Linked DNA regions of Arabidopsis thaliana. The protein of the gene in region 1 interacts with the protein of each later gene in a pairwise test. Each region holds a gene or a part of one and is shown on either strand. Other genes may lie near its edges.

What was found. Proteins that work in one complex are often made in the same cells at the same time.
Region 2: the proteins of AT3G03990 (region 1) and FP6 interact in binary tests that used the Arabidopsis thaliana proteins (3 or more experiments, as listed by UniProt).

The regions. Positions count from the first base shown.
Region 1 is NC_003074.8:1,031,818-1,035,574, reverse strand, and holds AT3G03990 (alpha/beta-Hydrolases superfamily protein), read right to left. Parts: upstream 1,997-3,757; 5' UTR 1,788-1,996; coding exon 984-1,787; 3' UTR 338-983; downstream 1-337. Other genes in the region: AT3G04000 (NAD(P)-binding Rossmann-fold superfamily protein), read right to left, coding at 1-75; AT3G03980 (NAD(P)-binding Rossmann-fold superfamily protein), read right to left, coding at 2,494-2,902, 3,386-3,757. UniProt on the Arabidopsis thaliana protein: Involved in strigolactone signaling pathway. Does not move long distances acropetally in the plant to regulate shoot branching and is rapidly degraded in the presence of strigolactones.
Region 2 is NC_003075.7:18,032,369-18,036,125, forward strand, and holds FP6 (farnesylated protein 6), read left to right. Parts: upstream 1-1,762; 5' UTR 1,763-1,987; intron 1,988-1,994; exon of another isoform or gene 1,995-2,119; 5' UTR 2,120-2,227; coding exon 2,228-2,305; intron 2,306-2,941; coding exon 2,942-3,325; 3' UTR 3,326-3,521; downstream 3,522-3,757. Other genes in the region: PIS2 (Putative CDP-diacylglycerol-inositol 3-phosphatidyltransferase 2), read right to left, coding at 85-124, 327-376, 488-572, 666-723; BGAL14 (beta-galactosidase 14), read left to right, coding at 3,748-3,757. UniProt on the Arabidopsis thaliana protein: Heavy-metal-binding protein. Binds lead, cadmium and copper. May be involved in heavy-metal transport. May be involved in cadmium transport and play a role in cadmium detoxification.

The DNA of each region.
Region 1 (3,757 bases):
AGAAGATCCTGTGACTATAGCTACTCGACCGGCGAGGCAAAGCGGTGGAGAAGAAACTGATGACGCTGCAGCCATACTGTTAGGTAGATTTTACTATAAATTTACTTTTCTATATTTAGGGTAGAAATGATGACAACGTGCTAAAAGAGTGTAAGCAAGCAATTTGTAGTGGTGATGGTTAGATTTGTCTTATGCTGTCAAATTCGTAAGCAAATTGAATTGCTGAAAATGTTTTTAGATTTGTCTTAACCTGTCAATTCGTATGCATTTTGAATTGCTCAAAAGTTTAGATTGATAGGACGTGTTTTCGTTGTGTGATTGTCTTCTAGAATTCACACACTCACTTTCTCAAATCTTAACTTGTATTATATATAGCACGGTAACAACATTATACAACTAACCAATTTTATTAACTTTAAAATTATTTAGAACACACATGCATAGTTGCATACTATAAAACTTAAATCAAGATTATGTCAGCCATAGTTGCTTCATTTTAGTTGTTGATACTTTTACGATGTGATGCTAGAATTTTCTAGTATACTTTATATCTTTTTGTCTCCATCATTTTATTAGAGAAAACAATCGAAAGTGTTGAGACTAAAGATTGTTGTTGCATCGATGTGTTGTTAGACGTCAATCAATACAAGGTCCAGGAACTTACAAGAAACAACAATATGGATAGAAATATTCAGAGGAAAGTAAAAGATAAGATAGGATTTTTTAATGTTTTTTTTGGTTATTCTCCAATTATTTTATGAAATAAACTTGTGATTATAAACTAATGAAGAGAGCAAGAAAAAAAGTGATAAAAAAGCGAAAGTCACGTGTCAAGTGAACAATCTTATCTTACTAGATTTGTGACAATGCCAAACTGTCCTCCACAAATAGAGGCCCTTCTTTTCTTCGATACGTGGACCCCACTAAACCCATATTCCACCAATTATATTTTATTGTTCTCTTTTTATATCTATAAAAAAAAGTCACCGAGGAAGAGCTCGCCGGAGAAACTGAGCAAGCTGCGCCGGAGCACTAAGCTGCGGCAAATGTCCTTCAGTTTTAAGAGTCTCCACAGTAGTATCTCCACCGAGATGAGACCTAAGATACTCCGCCACCGAAGCCGGCACAGAAACATCCTTCGCCGTCTGAATCACACACGTCGGAACTCTAACTAACCCAAGCACACCTCTCAGATCGCTGTTGAAAACCGTCCTCGAAACAAACAGAGATATATCCGGACGCATATTAAACAAAGTCCGGCTAAATTCTCTAACCGCCGCCGGAACATCAGCTCCAACAGCAAGCGGAGCAAATCCATGAACCCAAGCTTCGTAATTAGCTTCCATAGCTGAGAAAACTTTCTCAATCTCACCTTCTTCGAATCCTCCATGATAATCCTCGTCGTTGAGAAACCTAGGCGAAAATCCGATCAAGATAAGCTTGGAGAAAAGCTCCGGCCGACGAATCGAAGCGATGATTCCGATCATAGCGGAAACAGAGTGACCAACGTAAGCACAGTTTTGGATTCCGAGTGAATCAACGATGTTGAGAAGATCATCGACGTAAGGATCGAGAGTTGTGTAACGATTGAAATCGAAGTAATCGGGGTTGACACTGCCGGCGCAAACTAGGTCATAGAGGACGACTCTGTAGTTTTGAGTGAAGTAAGGAAGGATCAAGTGCCAAGCTGATTGGTCAGTACCGAATCCATGGGCCAAAAACAGGATCCGATCACCCGTACCCACGACCCGGACATTTAGAGCTTCTAAGATGTTGTGTTGACTCATTTTTTTATGTGTTTGGGTTTGAGGGTAAAGAAGAGAGTTGGATACTGTTTATATAAAAACTTGTTTGGGTAGGTGTGTGTGTGTAATGAAAATTCCTTTATCATCTTTTTTTTTCCACTGCATTTATTATTATTATTATCCAATACTTTCGATTGGCTTTTGAAGTTTATGGATACAAGAGCATGCGTTGATTATTCGTCACACATCTGATATATTTTAAGAGATTTAAGATGCTTCAAGGATATTGTTTTTAGACTTTTAGGTGTTGTTGCACTTGCCATATTCTTAAACCATTTTTTTATTCTGTAGTTGTATTTCAACAAACGACGTTTATCCCAAAGATTATTCGAATGGTGGGTGATGATAAATTGAATTATATAAAACATAAAGTGGTTCCAATGAATGTGTCAGTACGAAGACACGAGTTTGTAAATTAAACATAAGGTTTTTAAGAAATTCAAAAGTTAGATGTCGACGACAACAACAAAAGGATGTCGACAAAAAAAGAAGAAGAAATTTGGATATATTTTTTTGGACATAGGTGAGTCACGAGTGTTTTATTAAGATGGTTAAGACATTTATTTTCAACCTCAGTGTTTATTATTATTATTATTCCAATTGAACCCAATGTTTTATTTCTAACAAGTTAACCCCTACATTTGCTTCTCAAGGTATCAGGAAGAGGCTCCTCTCAAGACGAACTCTTTTATACATATCCACCATTAACAGGAATGATTTGACCATTGACCCATTCACCACCGTCACCAGCCAAGAATCCAACAAGAGGCACCACGTCTTTGGCTTCGCCGACCCTCCCAAAGGGAGACTCTGCGGCTATCTTTTCCACCAACTCTGGGGTCTTTCCATCAAAGAACATCTCAGTGGCGATGGGTCCTGGAGCAACACAGTTTGCAGTGATTCCTGTTCCTTTGAGCTCTTTTGCAAGAATCTTGACCATAGTTTCCACAGCTGCCTTTGATGCGGCATAGGCACCAAACCCTGGCTTTAAAGATCGAGTCTGGGAAGATGTCAGAAGTATGATCCGACCACCACCTCCTTGTTTTAGCCTATTGGCAGCTTCCTTGCTACACAGGAACGCTCCTTTTGTGTTGACACTACACTCCATTTTAAAAGAAACAAACAGAGGATTATTGGAAACAAGAATGAAGGAACTTTAGTTGGAAATTAGACATACAAATCTCACGAACATGGAACATTGGATGAAACAAGAAACATAAGTCGATTAATTAGCCACAAGAACACGAGACATGTTGCATTTGACTCATAATTAGACATACAAATCTAAAGAACACGGAACATATAATTTCATGGTTCATGGAGAGTGAACAAGAACACAGATTCCACTAAAATCTCAGTTGAAATATACTAAAGGAATCAGCTTTCTAACTCAAAATCATAGAACATGTAACAATTGATCAAGAACTTATACATAATCATCAACCTAACTAATTAACAAAAAAAAGTTTACTTTTCCAGTATTGAGCGGGAAGACAAGAACCCAATCAATGAAGATAAATTCTCTAAAGGAATCAGCTTTCTATAACGAACCCAATCAACGAACAGTATCGAGTATATACCTGAACGTATGATCGAAATCTTCGACTGATGTGTCTGCGATCGTAGGGTACTTTGGATCGAGAATCCCAGCAGAGTTAACCAGAATGTGAACCGGCGCTTCAAAGGCACTCTCCGCCGCATCAAACATTGATTTAACCTGGCTTGGCTCAGAGACATTGGCCTGAACCACAATAGCTCTTGGTCCCTTTCCAGTGATTTCTTCCCTAACTGGAAAATCATTGATCTCCGACGCGACACGCTCGGCGTCTGCGGCTTTAGAGGTGTAGTTGATAACAATCCTCGCACCGAGTTCAGCTAAGTGGATCGCTATCGCTCGGCCAATACCACGGGAAGAGCCGGTGACAATGGCGACTCTTCCGGCGAGAGGAAGC
Region 2 (3,757 bases), on another chromosome or scaffold:
ACCCCAAAATATATGACAAAAATGTTAAATGAGATTAAAAGAATGAGCAAGTTGAAACTCGGGAATATGTAGCGGAAGATTCACCTATCTGTAACCATATCCAAAACAGCTCCAAATGTAGAGACTGAAAGGAAAAGAGTTGTGTGTTACGTTCAATCGTTTCTGATAATGTAGAACAAGAATAAACTGTGTATGGGACTAAAAATATTGATCAATGAGACAATGACATGAAATGTCATATTTAATCAATGTCAGGATCATAGAGGAAGCATAAGTAATGAGTTAGTTGAAGCTAAGAAAAGAGATGGGGAGAATGAAAAGAGCACCTTGGTTAAATTTACGAGCGCACCATCCATCCACAGCATCACAACAAAAACTGGAAACAAGATTGGGTAAAGAGTGACTAACATATGAAAGAAGAAGCACCAAACACACAAGATCAAAAAAGGAGAAGAACATGATGTTGGTACCACAAGGATAAAGTCACCTGAAAAAGTACAAGAGGGAGAAGAGTGTCTTGTTGGAGAAGCACACAGAGAAGGCAATGCAGTTCAAGAGAACTCTCATGTACCCTGCCAATTTTGCATGTAACAACACTAATCTCATATGGTTTAAAAAAAATGAAATTTTTAAAGACAGAAGAAAGGAAGTAGCAAAAAACCGACCAACGATATTGGGAATGTAGAGGTAGACTGACAACGTCGCCGGTCTCTGTTTAGCCATAACAGAGAGAGAGAGACTTCAGTTTGGGCAATCTGTTCCCCAACGAAGAAAACAAGGATCTCGCCAATGAAGGGATACCTACACGAGATTAGAAAGAAAAAAGGAACAAACTTTGTGGGAAAATGCGTACGGACAGAGGAACCCCAAATCCGGTAAATACGTGAACACACACACACAAACAAAGTAGGTCAATCGATTTTCAGACGCAACTGGAAATATCAAATCTCAAAGTAAGTATGGGGAAATTAAATATTTCTCACCTGCCTAAGAGAAATTGGGAACGAAGGGATCCGCAGGATGAGCCTGCAGACTTTGTTGGAAGCTCTCACAAGAATCAGATTCGCCTCTCTCTCAAGCAAAAACGTTTTTTCGTTTAATATTCTCAAATTCAATTTGTGAAATACAGTACTAACATTTGTTAAATTATTTGTAAAACTTTTCTCGGTTTCGCCGCTTCAACACTGAAAATTTGCATATTTTATTTGCAAACAATACATACACGCATATATCGTTAATTTTCTTCTTCTTCCACGCACACTTTATTTACTGCTGAATTCGGATTGTGTCATTAGTCATTACTCACTCATTACTAATTTCCACAAACCTTTGTATCTTCATCGCTTAAGACTATAATTGATGATGGGATTTTCGGATATATGAACTTGAATCCCATGGGGGTCCAGATATCCAGATGGTTCTACTTGCAAGTCTTGCAAATCTAAATGGAATTAAAACTCGGTTGATTTTTGTCAAAAAATCGCCAAAAATATAAAATGGTAAGTAAGTGGGCCTCAGAAAAATCCATTAGAAAGCCTAGACCAAATTTTGGAGTGGGCTTCATAAAATAAACAAATCTGGTCATCAAGGTCGGTACGTCGGTGTGACTTTGCGAGTCATCATCGATTATCCAAAAACAATAACTCCTCTCTTTACTTTCTTCCCATGCACCAAGAATATATTTTTTTTATTATTATTTATTAAACAAAAAAAAAAGTAAAGCAGCAGAAAATCTAACGCACGACTCTTGTCCCAAGATCAGTCTCAGTCATCATCAAAACAGAAAATTTTATTATCCATTGTAATTTTATTTTTTTCTTACAAATTACAACTCTTTTTTTTTTCATTCATGGAATTGGAATGAAGAAATGTTTTAAGCCAATCCAAAAAAGAAACCGAAAAAAAAAAACTAGAAATTAGGAAACCGTTAGCAAGAAGAGAAGAATCGAGACGGCGACTAGGAAACTGCTGGGACCAGAAAAGAAAGGTGACCCATCCATCATTCACTTAATTAGATACATACTGTATTACTTATTACAATAATGCCTATATATATTCTCCCAATTCATCATTTACTTCTTTACACCTCCACTTTCCCTTTTGCCCCTCTTTTTTACAGATTTCACTCTCTGCTCTACTACTCTCTCCTCCTCCTCCTCCTAAAGAAAGTTCTTAACTCTCCTGGGTTCTTCAGGTTTTTCCTTTTCTGGAATAAAAAGAAGAAGAAATGGGTGTTCTTGATCATGTCTCTGAAATGTTTGACTGCTCTCATGGTCACAAGATTAAAAAGCGCAAACAGTTGCAGGTACTTTCCCTCTTCCTTTTCTTATCTTAGCAGATTCAGCTGATAACTTAGATCTTGGTTTGCAAAAAAACAAACATAATAATTCGTTGAAAAGTTATGATGAATGAGTCTAGTAGAAACTAGCTTCGATGGTTACTAGGAAAGTTTGAGTGTTACTTAGTAGATCTCGTATATTATAGTTCCATAAATAGACTGCCATTAGCAAGTTTATTATTGTGGTTTTGGCTGGCTAATTTGTGTTACCTTTCTTACTTCAGATCTTTTTTAATATCTCTGTGTTTTTTTATCTGAAGAAGTATATCCAAATTGTTACATGATATAAGTGGGATTTTATTTGAAGCAGTTTTTGTTTTGAGTTAATGTTCCTTCCTAACGCCGACCGAATAGATTCTTTTAATCTGAAATATAAGTTGATACAGCCATCTGTTAGATTTTACACCGGGATTTGTATTCTTCTCGCTGTCAGGAATACTATATAAAATCATTAATTTCCGGGGAAACCAACCACGTTAATTTTTCTCACTAGTCATGATGATATGGTTAAAGTCTTTCAATTGTGGACATTTACTATTCTTCTTAGATATTTTTAAAGTAGGCTAATTTTGTCGTTTTGTGTCGACTGCTTGATGAGGATAGACGGTGGAGATTAAAGTGAAAATGGACTGCGAAGGTTGCGAGCGGAAAGTGCGGCGTTCTGTCGAAGGCATGAAGGGTGTGTCTTCTGTGACGTTGGAGCCCAAAGCCCATAAAGTCACTGTAGTCGGCTACGTCGATCCCAACAAGGTGGTGGCTCGAATGTCTCACAGGACCGGCAAGAAAGTCGAGCTCTGGCCATATGTGCCCTACGACGTGGTCGCTCATCCTTACGCTGCCGGTGTCTACGACAAGAAGGCACCCTCCGGTTATGTCCGAAGAGTCGACGACCCCGGAGTGTCGCAGCTGGCTCGTGCTAGCTCCACCGAGGTCCGCTACACCACTGCATTTAGCGACGAGAACCCGGCGGCTTGTGTGGTCATGTGATGTCATATGGACTACTACTGTTTCAATTTGTTATGGCTTAATTTAATGTCTTGTTTTGTACATTAATACCATAACGGTAGGTTTCTTGTTTTGGTTTTAGTTCCTTGGTCTGTATTCCTTACACTTTATGATTGCAATATGTGTTTTTCCCTTTCTTCCAAAGACTTTTAATGTTAATAAATATTTCTACCCAAAATTAAATTATTTTCATTTATGGTTTGTAATTGTGAAGAAAGCTTCAAATGCGGATCAAGTTGTAGTTAAGAAAACCATTAAATTAAAATAGAGAGAGTAGTTGAAACAAGGGTTCCGAGCTTCCCTCTTTAACCTAGGACATCCTTAAAACAAGGGAACAATATAATACAAGTTGTAACATTTATGTATCAAAGTGTTTATCGATGAGCAAATCAAGTAGAATTAGGATGAAGTCGA